Drosophila melanogaster: one gene and its partner. The protein of the gene in region 2 purifies or fractionates together with the protein of the main gene of each other region. This does not show direct contact. Each region holds a gene or a part of one and is shown on either strand. Other genes may lie near its edges.

Region 1 (6,024 bases), on a different chromosome or scaffold from region 2:
AAGAAGATCACGCCCGACTTGTACTCGCTGACCTGGTTCCAGTCGCTTTTCGCCTCCTGCAGCAGCCTGTCAGTGATCATTGCCATGTGGGACCTGTACTTTCAGAACGCCGATCCCTTCATGGTCTTCTTCCTGGCGCTAATAATCTTGATCAACGGCAGGGAGCAGATCCTGCAGATGAGGAGCTCGTCCAAGGAGGAGATCATCAAGTTCCTGAGCCTTATGCCGTGCGCCCTGGAGTTCGACGACGTCCCCGACTTTTGCTCCCTGGCCCAGTACTACGCGCTCAAGACACCAACTTCCTTCAAGACGGACTATCTGAAGGCGCTGTACGGCAAGCAGAATGATACACCGCGCAGCCAGGAGGAGGCAAACAAGGTATCACAGGCCCTGTGCCTGCCCGTCTCCGTTTACGAGCTGGTAGAGAACTCGGCCACAGAGTTTCCTGTGCCGGATGCAGTGCGTTTCTTTCTCGTTGACTGCCGCCCGGCCGAGCAATACAACGCCGGCCACCTGTCCACGGCATTCCATCTGGACTGCAACCTCATGCTCCAGGAACCTGTCGCCTTTGCCACCGCCGTCCAGGGCCTCCTGACCGCCCAGCGGCAGGCCATCGAGGCCAACTCGAACGCCGGCGGCGAGCATCTGTGCTTCATGGGCAGCGGTCGCGTCGAAGAGGACCAGTACACACACATGGTGGTGGCCTCGTTCCTGCAGAAGAACACCCACTACGTGTCGCTGCTGACCGGTGGCTACGCCTCCATCCACGACTACTTCGGCGATCAAATGGCCGATTGCCTGGAGGATCACAATGCGCGCAAGTGCCTCGTCTGCCAGCAGCACAACGCGCAGCAGGTAAGACTTCGATAACTCAGGAAATGTACAATACTTTGAATCGAATTAGTATACTTATAATTTCTCAATTCCGCTCCTGCAGACTAAATCAGCGCCGCTTAAGACTTCGACGCCATCCTCTACAGACCTATTCAGCAAGTTCTCCGCCGCCATGAAGTCAAAGTCTGCCGAGGTCAAGGGCAAACTACTAGACATTATCGTGAATCCCAGTGCAAATGGCGGAGCCACGGCTAGCGGCACCAATGGTGTGCCATCGGCGCCGGTGCAAGAGCGCCATGTTAGTGCAAAGGAGCGGAACGGCAAGCGCTACCGCAATGTGGCACCTGTGTTCAGCATCGACGATGAGAACGAGGATGCCTTGGACGGGGCGGGGGAGCGGGATGACGCACCGCTGACCAGCGACGGCAAGGAGATCGTGAATCTGAACCAGTACTTCAAGACGGCGGACATCATCAACGCCTTCAAGTGCCAGGAGGTGCACATGAGCGGCTACATGTACGACAGTCATTTGATCATCACGCCCGGGCAACTGGTGGTGCTGCGGGAACTGGGACGCGGCCAGGCGCAGATAATGGTGCGTCGCCCGCTGGCGAGCATCGTGAAGATCACGGCCAAGAAGCGACACCGCGACCTCATCACGTTCAAGTACGGATTCCCCGATGGCGATGGTCTGCTCATAACCGACATGGACCGCTTCCTCATACCAAATGCGGCCGAAGTTACGGCACTGATTTCAAGGCTCATCGTGCAGGTGCTTGACGACGCCAAGTAGGATAAACCGGACAACCGCCGCATGCTCTTCTTGTTTCCGCCTTTCCGCATCAAGCTTTATTTCATGAACGGCCACTGATACAAAAATCAGAGACACAAAGTGCAATGCGCCGCTGCGAGCGGTGTAATAGTTTGTAATTGGCATTGTTTTCCTTGTATTAGCTGAAATAGTATAGTTCTTATTGTAAACGAAGCGCTGGCTGCAATTGTAACATAGTGCACTCGGTGCAGAGACCGGATTTGAAGAAAATAGTCGAACGTAGTCCCAGATCACATGGCCATCCCGAGCATGCCACGCCCCCGATCCCAATTTTCTAAATTTCTAAGTGCGAATAAGGAACCCTTACCGAAGCCCTGAGACTTACAACGTGTACATGATGAGAGTAACTAATATTTATTGCAATCAAACCAAACAAATAAAACTGTATTATAATCGACACAAAAAATTGTTAAAAAATCATAGCTCTCTTTGAAATTTCATCGGAACTTAACAGATGCACCACGCAGCCGCATCTTCTTTTTTTTTTAGATTTCATGTTTTTCCAGCAGCGGAAGATTGCAGGTTGTGGTGCGATTCTGTGGATCCTGGAGACCATTGACTTCGTTGACAAGATTTTGAGCCTGCGCAAGTTGTTTGCTCCGATGGGTGCGATATAACCAGGTCGCCGAAACAAGTAAGGCGACCAGCAATATGGCTGCGCACACAGCTACTACTACTACGACTACCATTGGGTAATCTCGGACTGCTTCCAGCTTTTTCTGATTCAGCTCCAGTTTGCCCACGATCGCCAGGAGTTGATTAAATGATTCCAAGGTCACGGATTCCTGGGAAGATTTTGGTTCCTTCTGCAGCGTTGCGTAACCTGCTTTCGAAGGAACTCTTTCCCGGACTTCTCCACGGAGGGCGACAGCTGGACTGCGCACGGCACAGTCGCTTTGAATGCTCAGGATTCCACTGCCATTCAATTGGAGCTCCTGCCTCTCACCGGAGCACACTCCTATTAAAGTTAGCTCATTGGTAAGGGCCACCATCCAGGAGTTTGGTGCCACCATCTCTGTCCACAGACTCTTCTCCTTCACTTGACGCAAGGTGCAGACTTCGGAAGACTGGTTCCGTATGGCCGCCAGGGAGCAGGCAAAACTGTCATCCCCAGTCCCGTAGATAATGCGGTTGCGCCTGCAGATGAACCTTTCTTCGCCCAACTTGATGCAGTCGTCCAAGCTCTGAAGCGGAAAATACCTGTCCATATGATCGTTGATGCCCAGATAAGGTGTTTCGGTGTCCACCAGTTGGATTACGCCATTGTTTAACCGTGGAATGGGCGTCAATCGGTAGATATTAAACTTCTCCGCATCGAGCAAGGGCACTGTGATTTGGAACTCCACGTGGTTGCCCCGCTGCCGAGGAACTACGGAGGCGAGAAGGTAAATATTCCGGATTGTATATCGGCCATCCAGATCTCCCAGAATTGGCGGCATCTTCGCTTGCAGCTGTTTCATTGAAAGGACAAGAGGACTAAGCTTTCCGTGGTGGGCAGAGATTATGGCTTCAGTTATGGCATTCTGGGCACTTTTTAGTCTGCTGCCCATAAGGTATAGATACGGCTTCATCATAATCAGGTTTTCAGGTTCATAAGCCTCGTGAAAGGGTTCTTGAAGTATCACATTTATAACATTAATGGAGCTGTCAATGCAGGATGTTCCCATCCCAAGCTCGATGGACACGTCGTCATCTCCCAAAGAAAGTCGTCCGGCCCTAAAGTCCAACGCTTTCTCCAAGTCAATTAGTCCATCGTGAAGAATACTATCCGCAAACTTGGTAATGTCCAGAATTTCTGGACAAAGATTCCTTTGGATATCGCACACATCGACCAAAGCCTTGTAGACACCATTGAACGCACGTATTGCCGTATAAAGCGACTCCAAGTTGAAGCTGGCACATAACTTCCAATCTCTGGAGGCTAGCGATGCCTGACCGCTGTACTCCACGAAGGTGCCCAGACTGTTGTTGAATCCCCGCATCGCCATCGGACCTCCGATCGCCTCCCGATCAACTGGGCTTCCATGGGAGAGCGCTATCAGCGAGGGGGCGAGGATGAATACCAAACTAATCGCTTTCATCTTTCGCTTGTAGAGGTGATCGTTGCCCAGAGTTCCGCGCTAAACTGAAGGTGAGCTCCTGAGAATCGGGTAGCAAGCGGTAGTGCATGTCCATATGTATGTTCAATTGCTGATATAGCAAAATGATCGGATCATTGTGCGCAATATAAATTTTTAAATATTTGCAAGTGAGGCAATTAGCCAGAATTAGCTTTCAAATAAATATAATATAAATATATAATATACAAATATAACATAAGCCATCCATATTTATTATACATTTTACACTAGTCAAGTGCATTGAGTACTAATATAGTGAATTTACATAACAACCAGTGTCATAGCGGCATAACCAGCACCACAGAGGCCCACCGATGCGACCTGGCAGTAACGCAGCTCTTTGCAGATCCGGCGCCGGCGCAGTAGAGGATTGGCTCGCTGCCTCGCCAGGCAAGTACGTAAGCAGGCTCCTCCGAGCTCCGCGGTCTTTATCAATGAGAGTGACGTAGGTTGTGTGCAGACCGGACGGGATTCGGTCGGCGAGTGGAGGAGTTGGGTGGCACTTTAATGTGGTCTGCAAGCCAACGGCCAACGGCACGGAATCGGGGCAATACGTTAAAAACTGTTGCACTGCGTCGCTGGGACGTCAGTTCATTCAGAACAGTCGAAGTGCGCAGACCACTGGGATCCAAACACCGGCAGAAACCAGGCCAGGAGTCGAAGTCGACCTCCCACCTCCAGCCAGATCCGAATCCTATTTGGGACACCACCAGCTAGAGCCAAGTCAAGTGCCGTTTGCCGTAAACATGCCACGCATCTCGTTGCCCGGCAGCAGCCTGCTGGTAGTCCTGGCACTGATCCTGTGCCTCAGCCTTCCAATCCGGGCGGTGCCCACCTCCGTGCTCGCCCAAGACACGGAGCTCTCCACCAGCGCCAACCACAAGCTCCAGCAGCAGCAGCAACAGCAGCAGCAGCATCACCAGCAGCAGCAGCTCCAGCAGCAGCAGCAGCAGCAACAGCCGGCCACAGGTAAGTGCCAAAGTTCAGTACAGGTGGAGCAGCAGCTCCGCCCACGCCCACTCTTAAGGCTAAAGGTCACTGGGAAAATGCGAGTTTTTGAAAAATGCCCGGCCCGAGAAGGCTGTGCCTCCAGCCTCCAGCTCGTCGTCTGCGTGGGTTGGCTGGCTGCTGGCTTTTGAGGGTCGGGCATCCGCTCGAGTGGCTCCATCTCGGAGCTCATCTCGTTTAGCATATTCCATTTCCCATTTACCGCTCGTCGTTCGCTGTTTCTGCCAGGAAATTGCGTAGGTGTTTTGCGCGAGGACGACAGCTGTCGTCCTTTTGAATGCCGCGCTCCATGAGCGATTTATAAATTTCCATCCTGCGGTTGTTTTTCTTGCACTGGCTTAGTGAATCATTACTGTGCCTGCACAGCGAGAAAACTACCAATGACTTTTCTGAGTAAGTGGGTAGCTATATGCACTCTTGAAAGAAAACTATCAAATAAAATAAGTTTTAAGTCTTTAAATTAAAGTTTCAACAAAAAAATGATTATATAAATTATATTAAATTATATACATATATATATAATAATCAAATTTCTGCCAAAATATTCACGAAACATATATACATATATCAAGCTGCGGCTTAAAGCACAATGTTGCCTTTTCTTTCAACAACTCTAAAGAAACATATGGTATTCTGTATATACAGCTCCACGATTTCTCCCAGTGCAGTTACACTGTTCATATATGTAGCTCAGCGCTCACCAACACAAGCACACGGGAACCTACAGCGCAGTTAAACATCGCGTAGGCGTTCGCCACACAAAATGGCGGCCAGCCTCCTTTGTGAGTGTGTGTGAGTACGTGTGTGCGTGTATGTGAGTGGGGGGGCCTCCATGCTGTTAAAGTGTGCGTACGTGCGCGCGATTTCATTTCTATTTTTAGAAAGCGAGTTAGGCGAAAGTTTTCAGCCCCTTTTGCGCCCCTTCCGCTCCTCCTGCACTTTCTGCTCGCCTGGCGCCGTTCGCCTAGCATCGCCTTACGCCATCGCCATCGCCATTCACCACATCTTGGGTGGCAAGTGCCACCCATTGCCGCCCCCACTTTCACCGCAGCATTGAGCCCTTAAGTAGGCAGCCAAGCTCAAGCTGTTAAGCCTTTCCGATCCATTCCGAGTATAAATACGCGTCCGTGTGTGCAACACGTTCGTTAGCGCTCCAAACCGCAGCAGCAACTAAGGCCAAAAGTAGCGGGGCTTTGGTCAGATGTCAGTTGCCAAAAGCCAGCGGCAACC
Region 2 (8,657 bases):
CATATATATACACATGTATCATTGGGTAATCGAGACAAATAAGCATGTAGGACTGGTTGCACTCCGTCAGGTTCACTGCGTCGAATGAGTCCTGTGTCCCAGCCTAAAGCACAACTTGCGCAGTTGTCCATCTCCAGAATTCACTGTACTGGCTCTGTGGAAGTGCGGGAGTTTCGAGTGGGGCTGCCCCTTGCATCCAAATCCAAATCCAACGGAGCTTCTGCGGCGGCTGCTGCGAGCCTGTTCAAAAATCGACTGACTAAGGCCCCTGAAATCGTCGCACGGGGCCTCTGCAGAAACTCATTAAGCGCTTTTATCTCCGCTCCGTCTCTTAATTCTTTTCTTTCTGGCCAGCCCATGCCAGGCCAGGGCAATTAGTGGAAATTGTGGGGCCCACTCCCAGTGACCACAAAAACACAGGGGCCTTCTTCATTAGCTGCGCACATTTCGACCTACGATTTTCGCAGCGCATATCCTTCTATCCTATTACGCTAACATCTTCTTAATTAAAAAGCTGACAACGCCGTCTCCGGCCACCATGAACCCGCCCACGTCTCGCCGCCAAGTCCGGTGGCAGATTTTTAATTGCTTAATTGGAACTGCGTGAAAATCCCGTTGAGAATGGCCAGAACGCATCCCCGAACGAAGAGCCGCCACCACATCACCACCACCACCAACAAATCGCCTGTTGCTGGGCAATTAAAACGCCATCGCAGATGAGGGGCGGTGCTCAAGGTCGTCCAGCCGGAACAACCACCACGCCCTAGATACGCCTCAAACCCGGCATGGAGATCAGGCGCCCAGTAAACGGCAGAAGCGACCCAGCAAGGACTCGAGGACGGGGCACGAGATGCTGCTACGCACCGCACGAGATGCAGGATGCGGACGCGGATGCGCAGGGTTGACGATGCTGCAAGATGGCTTCGTGGCTTGGTAAGTGGGTGGCCCAGAGCCCCGGGGTAAAGCTCAGTCGAAAAGCTCGTGGCGAGAAAGCTCCAACCACCGCGATGGGTGGTCGGGCGCGGGGGAATCCCATGGGATGCACTGCCAGGTGTTACGCAATCAGCCTTGTTCGACATCCACCCCCTTTTCTTAGTACCAAAAGCACGATCGAAATACAACCCCACCGACTGTCCTTGTGCAAAGGATATCAGTAGCTAGAGGCTACAGGCTCGGGCGACATGGAAGCCAGAACTCCAATGACTAGAGCACCCCGAAATGTGTTTATGGGCAAATTGAAGTCGCTACTAACCTTTAAGGCTTGATATGAAATGTTATGATACGTGAAAATACTTGAACTTGAAGATGGTCTTCAAACATCCTTCGTTTCTGACGATGAAACACACGATGATGACAATGATCTTGAACTCTCTGCCGATCTCGACTTGTTTCTTACAATACCTTGGGAATAATTTTGAAAGCAATCGAAAATAAGCCAAATTAAAAACGAACTTATAAGTAATGTTAAATAATGAAATAAACACCTTAGGTTCCGCACAGCGAGTGCTCCACTTGCCGCCAACCCAAATCATTCATTCGAAATCCACTCCACGGTTCATAAGTTTATTTTGGTGGTCGCTCAAAGGAAGCCACTCATAAATTTGATGTACGTACAGGGGTGAGCAGATGATACCCGGATGCGGAGGCGTCGCCCTCTGATGCGGTTCACCATGATGCGATCCAATCCGATCCGATCCGATGCTCGCTATCGCTCTGGTCGCTCCTGCAGTCCATGGTCCAAGTGCCACCCTGGTACGCTTTGAATTTTGTATAATTGTTGCCTTGTTGCCTTTTTGGTTAGTCATAGTTCCATATAATACGGTATTACATAGTATATAGTAAAGTATATTATGTATAATGCATGTGTATATGTGTATATAAATTTAGTTAACATTAATTCACCAAATACTCAATTTCTCTCCATCTTCTTTTCGTGGTCTTCACCCACTCAACGTTAGTCCACTTTTTCATATCGATGCCATTGCGCGCTCGTGTTCAATTTTATAAAAGTTCAGTTGCCACTCTTTGTTGTGTTCGAAACGAGATGGGTTAATTGAGATTGGTAAGTCGGGTGTTGTGGGCTGGGTGTTCGGTGCGTGGTGTGGGTAGTGGGGGGGAGTTGCGAATAATGGGGGCATAGGGTCTGACCATTAGTCTTTGGCACGTTCGCATCGACGATAGCGATGGAGCTGATATGTAAACGGAGTTTCCTCGCTTTGTGCTTGTGAGTGGAAGGGGAGCGGGAAGTGACACCATATTGGTAATTGCACTACATGGGCGTCTCTCTCATGGATACTAGCTATGAACGAGGATCGGACTGAGATCTCCTCGAAATCACTGGGCTTCAAGTGGAGTGGGGGCTCTGGGCGAAGTCGTCTGGGTGCGGTAACAACAATTCGAGCTGGTCAGTGGCTAAGTCTATGGTAAAACTCTTGGCTAAAACATTCCTTGATTTAGACTGGCCGGCCGGCAATGGGGTAACGCGGAGATTTTCGCTTTTTGGCATCTTTGTGCAATCGAATGCTATCAATGGAATCTACTATGCTGAGATTGGTTTCGTTAGTTAGTTCAATTCAAGTCAACAAACAATGCGCTAAGGTTGTAACGTTTGCTAATTATATATCAATTATATATACTTTTAGGTTTCTTTCGCTCTAAGGTTTGCGTATTTTGATAAATTTGTAATATATTTATAAGGCCGCTTGGGGCAACTGCTATGAGAGTGCTAAAATACTCATACGGGCTGGCGATAGCCGAAGATCTAGATAGATGCAGGGGTCTTAGGGACAGTTACACTACGGATAATTGAAGCAAAATCTTCCCGTTCTACCTAGACTTTCTAAAATCTGGGGTCCCAGAACCAGAGTCCTCCTCGTCTCGTCTCCTCATCTCACCGAATCGTTTTCTCTGCATCTGCACCTGGGAGGACTGTTTGTCTTTCTAAGCTTGTTTTTGTCTAAATTCATTAAAAACTCACTCGGCAATCTTTGCACAATCTCGATATCGTTTTCGTTCTCGTTTTCGTTCTCGATCTTGATTTTTGAAACACGTGCACATGTGGGGGCTGTGGTATGTTTGGAGTCTTATGTGGTAGTCGTTAATCAAGTTAGAATAAATCGAAGGTACGAAAAATACAAAGTGGATTCGTATTAAATATATCCAGTACAGTTAGGGGTTACGAGTTACGAATAAAACGCGTATTACGTAAACAAAATTGCATAACAACTTAGAATTATGAGGGCACAGCAATCGAGTGTGTAAACTATGTATGTACAGCTCAGGCGGAGCAGGTGAATGGCGAGGGACAGGGTCAGATACAGGCTGTTGCCTAAACTAAATGTAAACGTAATCGTAAGACGTAAAAGTAAAAAATAAATAATAAATTAGGATGCAAGATGCAGGGGTGCGGGGGGCAGTGCAAACGGAACGGAACGGAATGGAACGGAAACGGAAAAACAGAAAACAAACGAAAAGTGAAATGCACGCCAACTCGGATGCTTTAAGGGGCGCTTACTTCGCCGCTGCGGAGGCGGAAACGGAACCGGGCGTGGCCGACAGCGCCATCTTGGAGAGCGTGGCCAAGGAACGTTTCGGGAACGTGTTGCTGCCGTCCGACGGGTCCGAGAACAGCTTCCGGAAGCTACAATGCAGAAAGTGAATCGAGAGCTCTACGCCGATTGAATGCCACTTACAATTTGCGTATTCCCGACTCGGAGCTCTTCTTCCAGGGCGCATCGTCCGGCTCGTAGGGCAAAGGGCCCTGCACGGGCGCATCGTGTCCAGGTGGCCTGAAAAGCGATGCACTATGTATGTACTTAAGTAATCATAACTAGGGATAGTAATTAGCTATAAAAACTCAAAAATAATCAACATATAGATCCGAATCCAACGATTTGTTTGACTCCCAATTGTGCCATTTACCAGTTACCTGCTGACCTTGCGAAAAAACACGCAAATATATACGTTTAAGCTCTGAATCACCTGCCAATTAAACGTTTGCATCATAGGGTCTATTTGAATATTGTTAGCACTGAGCAACAACAAAAGAATGACTCAGGCTGAAAATGCTTGTTCGTTAATCACTTTGACTCAAGCGGTCGTTCATAAATTCTTGTTTTCTCTGGTGAGGGACCACAAAACTAAAGGATGTAACAGAAATGGGCTCACTCACGTTTCTCCGGCCGCTGGTGGCTCCAGCTCGTTCGCCTCGGCAGCCGCCTCCTCCTCGTCGTCGTCATCATCGTTGTCCGCCACGTGACCATCGTCGTCCTCATCGCTATCGTCGGAGCTGGAGAAGTGACGCTGCCGCTTGCCCTTCGCCTGGCTTGGTGGCTTCAGCTCCGCCAGCTGCTCGTTGAGGGTGTCGATGGTGGTCAGCAGCTCATCGCGCTCGCTAATCAACTCTTTCAGCTCGCGCGTGGTGTACCGCGGCCGGTTGGGATCGTTCTGGCCATCGTCGTACGAGGCCACCAAATCCTCATTCTCCTTTTCGGCCAGGCCCAATCGCTTGCGCAGTTGGTTGATCTCCCGGCTCTGGTCCTGCAGCTGGGCAAGAAAGTCGGCGCGCTCCTCGCACAGCGTCTTCACTTGGGCCTGCATCAGCTTGTGGCGGCGCCGGGTATCTCGCTCTGATGCCTTCAGACGCTCCGCCTGGATATTGAGCTGGGAAGGGTTAGTTAAGAATACGTTAGCTGGGAATATGAGCACCTATCCTTAAGGACACTCACGTGCTCCAGCTCGCTGTACTTGTCCTGCAGCTCACGCTCGCGGTGCTTCAACTCGTCGCGCTGCTTGTATATCTGCTCCTTCAGCCGTTGCAGCACTTGAGTATCCGAAAGAGCGCTGTGCAGCTCGTGGTTGGTCATGCTGATAATGCTCTCGGTGAGACTGGCCCCCAGGCCGGAGCTCTGGGCGGACGATGACTGCAGATCCTGAGTCTGCTTTACCAGCCGCTTGTTCTCGTCTTGCAGCGAGGAGACGAGATCGACCAGCTCGTTGGTCTCGCTGCGCCACTGCTCTTCGATCAGCTCCAGCTCCTTGTCGAACCGCCGCCGGAACTCGGCCTTCTCCAGCTTCTCGCTCTCCAGCTGGGCCACCTTATCGCGCAGCTCCTGGATGGTGGCGTTCTCGCGCTCGTTCTTCGTGGCCAGCGCCTCCAACAGCTCCAGGGTGTTGATGATCTTGGGCATCAGCCCGCTGACGGCGTCCGTGCCGAAGCGGTCCATGATCCGCTCGTACTCCTTGCCAATGTCGGAGGCCAAGTCGTACACATCGACCACGCCGATGTCGTCGATGGCGTCCAGGACCATTTCACCCATCTCATTGAGGTGAAAGCCGGGCATCCAGGTGGTCGCTCAGATAATCTGTGACTCCTGCCAAGCGCTGTATCACTTGTTTACTTGCTCACACTTGCTCACTGGACTCTGTGTTCACTGAAGACCAGCTTCAGTTGTCGCCTCTTTCCACGGTGTCCTGCTCCTCGGAGTTGCTTCGGGAATCGCTGCACCAGCTGACAGGGATTTTTCTTTCGCTAGCAGGACAAGTGTGCGTGTGCGTGTACGTGCGCCAGGTGTTGGTTTTCCAAGTGCTTTAAGGGAGGGGGGGAATCCGCAATCCGAAGTACGGAATTCGCACTTCGCAATTCACAGTTGGCGCACACAGACTGCACAGTAGTGTGCGTGGGAGTGGCAGTGCTCACTTCATTCACTCTAGTTGTTACTGCCGCCGAGTCGCTTTTCGCTGCCGATTCCCACATAAACAATCCGACTTTCCGCAATTTATTTGCACAATTTTTGCTGAACCGAACTGGAACTGATGAGTAACGAATAACTGGTTCGCGGGCGCCCATATGTGCGAACCAGTTCCCAGATGAGCAGTCGGTTGCGCAGTCTGGTAGCGCTTTGTGCTGGCTGGTCAGTGTTGGGCAACGCCAATTCGTTTGGCGCCAAATGAAGAGCAGCTTAAGCGAGCAAAATGAGCGTAAGTGCCAAAATGTTAAGCCTTAAACGAAATTTTACTATCCAAAAGTCAACAGGCTGGGCCACAAAGTAAATTCATTGTTTTATTAATAAGTTCTTGTTTACAAAATTGTATAAATAGTTTTGTTTTCTTGGTTTTCAGTTTCGTTTGGTGTGTGCTTCCTTGTAAATTGTGGTTACTGGGTCTGGATAGGCAATTAATTGTATTTTACACGTACAGTAGCACTAACACTAACTAAATGGTTTGTGTGCCACATTTACACAGTTATGCAGCGGCGACTAGCAAGTTTCTTCTCTTTACACCATTTCAAATCATTGGTTTGGTTTCACTGGTTCATTAAGTACATAAATTAGCTACAGTTCCTTCAATGCTTTCCTCGGGGGAACAATCTAAGCGATATAAAAAAATAATACACAAGTTCTCGGCTAGGCGTAACAATTTCGATTTCTTTTCTGTAGCTCTTTCGTTCTTCACTTTTGACTTTAGGGACTAGATTAGGAACCACATTTGTACATTTCATTTTCATGCGTTCTTAGCTGCTCGATCTCTAATTAAGTAAGTAAGTAAGGTCTAGTTTTGTAAAGTAAATGTACATTCAAGATAGTCACCTTCTTCTTCTTATTCTTTTTGGTAGCAGCTCGTAGGAAAACTTAAAAATAAACACGTTACATGTATAGAAAAAAAAAGGCAATAAAAAAATAGGCGACGCAAGACATTTTAAAATGAGATGAATCGCTATGTTTCAGTTAGGCTGGCAAATAAATAGTGGGTCGCGAGTGGTTATGACCGGTTATTTCAGCAGGTCCTTTGGCAAGCATTTTCGATGGCAAGGCCCCAATCTTGGTTTCTGTTTTGGCACTCAAACTGGGCGTAAATAAATATATATGGTAAAATTAATGTTACAAAGTGGTTGCGTCAATCCATGGTAGCAAGTATAAAATTAGCAAACTAGACAAAATACTAGCACCCCTCCTGGGGATCCTGATTCTGCTGCAGGGCCAGCTGCCTCAGGAGCTCGGAGGTGACTTCCTGGCGCTTCGAGCGCTTCGCTGGCGGCGGAGAGGAGTGGGGCGGTGTATCTGGCGACGACAGGCCGCCCACCACGCCAACATCCCTGACCAAGGCATCCTGTGAGTCATCTTCGTCTACATCGTCTTCCTCGTCTTCGTCGGGTAGCGTCAGGTCCGTTATGGCCTGGTCACGGTTCTCGCCATCGTCCTCCGACTGCTCGTCCTCCCTAGACCGCCCATCATCTATGTCCACTATCGAGATGATGTCGCTGTCGCTTTCGCTTTCGCCCGCAGGACCCCCGACTAGTTCGAACCGCCCCTTGGCTGCGGACTAGCTGGTGCTGGCCTGCGTCTGCAACACATTGGCGGAAGCGGACGATGAGGCACTAGCGGCGGTCACGGCGACGGGCGAGAGCACACTGGCTCCAGGGAAGTGGCACGGGCACGCAGGATTGGGCATGTGATTCGCCTGACTGTTCAGCTTGCGGGTGAGCGTCTGCCAGTATTCGATTTGGGCGTTGATCAGGTCGATTTTCCGCTTGCTCTCCTCGATCCTCAGCGAATTCATCAGCTCCTGGTGCTGGCTCCTCGTCCCACCGCTGCCACTTCCTCCGCTGCCCGACGTGTGTGCCCCGCCGATCCCCAGGCCCACGCCGCTGTTGTTGGCACTGCTCCCGCCGCTTCCGGCTCCGGATCCGCTGCTGTTCAAGGCGCTGCACACTGTGCCCGCCACTGCCAGTCCGTTGTACCCGTTGAAACTGCCCGCCGCCCCGATGGCCACGCCTCCTGTCTTGTCCCGCGCCAAATGGTTGTGCGTCATCTGTGCGTGGTGGCCGCCGTTGAGCAACAGTTGCACTCCATTGGAGGCCACCGCGGAATTGCTTGTGCTGCCGGCAGTGTGGTGGCTATTGTTGATGTTTCCGCGCTGAAGGCGTGGCAACTGCAGAGTGGGAGGGGTGCGGCGGCTGCTAATGGCGACCGATGAAGATGGAGCGGCGGACCCATAGGCGGCATTGATGGCCGCCTGCAGAGACTGAGCCGGATTCACGGCGGACAATCCTAGGCCGTTCAGCAGCGTGTGCTGCTGCACTTGCTCCGCTGTGAGCGGCAGCACTCCACTGGCACTGGAGCCGCCATTGCTGGCCGCTGATAGGACAGCTCCTGTGCCGGAGCCGCCGTTCTGCAGCGTCTTGTTGATGTTGGCAAAGCTGCCCACGCGTATGTGGCCCACGGTCTGGATAGTGATGTCCGGTTTGGGCGCTGATGCGTAGCTCCCGCTGGAACTAATCGAGGTCTTCGTGGAGCACACGGGCGAGCTTGCGGCGCGGCGACTGGTTTCGGTAATCCCGTTGCTAGACATGTTTCCGGGAAGGGAGCCTCCGGAGACACCACCGCCGGCGGCTCCGGACGATCCCACCTGCTGCAGCTGGCGCACGTCCGTTGGAAAGAGCACGTCGTCCTCCTCCTCGAGGCACACCTCCGGCGCCTTGTGGCTCAAGCAGTCGTCGTCATCGTCCTCGTCCAGGCAGTCCATGCCATTGTCCGTCTGCTCGTTGTCGCTAATTGTCTCCGACTTGATAAGGATCACGTCCGTGTCCATGCCCTCGTGGTAGTGGGGCATCTGCAAGTGTGAGGAAAATAAATGATACTGAAACCATCATGGACAGC

Evidence for each region.
Region 1: the proteins of Rilpl (region 2) and Iris purify together in Drosophila melanogaster (affinity purification with mass spectrometry, with the first as the bait; one large-scale study listed by BioGRID). This does not show direct contact.

What each region holds. Positions count from the first base shown.
Region 1 is NT_033779.5:1,130,327-1,136,350, forward strand, and holds Iris (iris), read right to left. Parts: upstream 3,773-6,024; 5' UTR 3,748-3,772; coding exon 2,152-3,747; 3' UTR 2,006-2,151; downstream 1-2,005. Other genes in the region: TBC1D23 (TBC1 domain family member 23), read left to right, coding at 1-855, 938-1,627; CG4577 (uncharacterized protein), read left to right, coding at 4,533-4,755.
Region 2 is NC_004354.4:1,390,229-1,398,885, reverse strand, and holds Rilpl (Rab interacting lysosomal protein like), read right to left. Parts: upstream 5,833-8,657; 5' UTR 5,343-5,832; coding exon 4,728-5,342; intron 4,663-4,727; coding exon 4,172-4,662; intron 3,804-4,171; coding exon of another isoform or gene 3,789-3,803; coding exon 3,693-3,788; intron 3,641-3,692; coding exon 3,515-3,640; coding exon of another isoform or gene 3,511-3,514; exon of another isoform or gene 3,334-3,510; coding exon 3,201-3,333; 3' UTR 1,549-3,200; downstream 1-1,548. Other genes in the region: CG32813 (uncharacterized protein), read right to left, coding at 7,321-8,637. UniProt on the Drosophila melanogaster protein: May have a role in lysosome distribution by interacting with Arl8.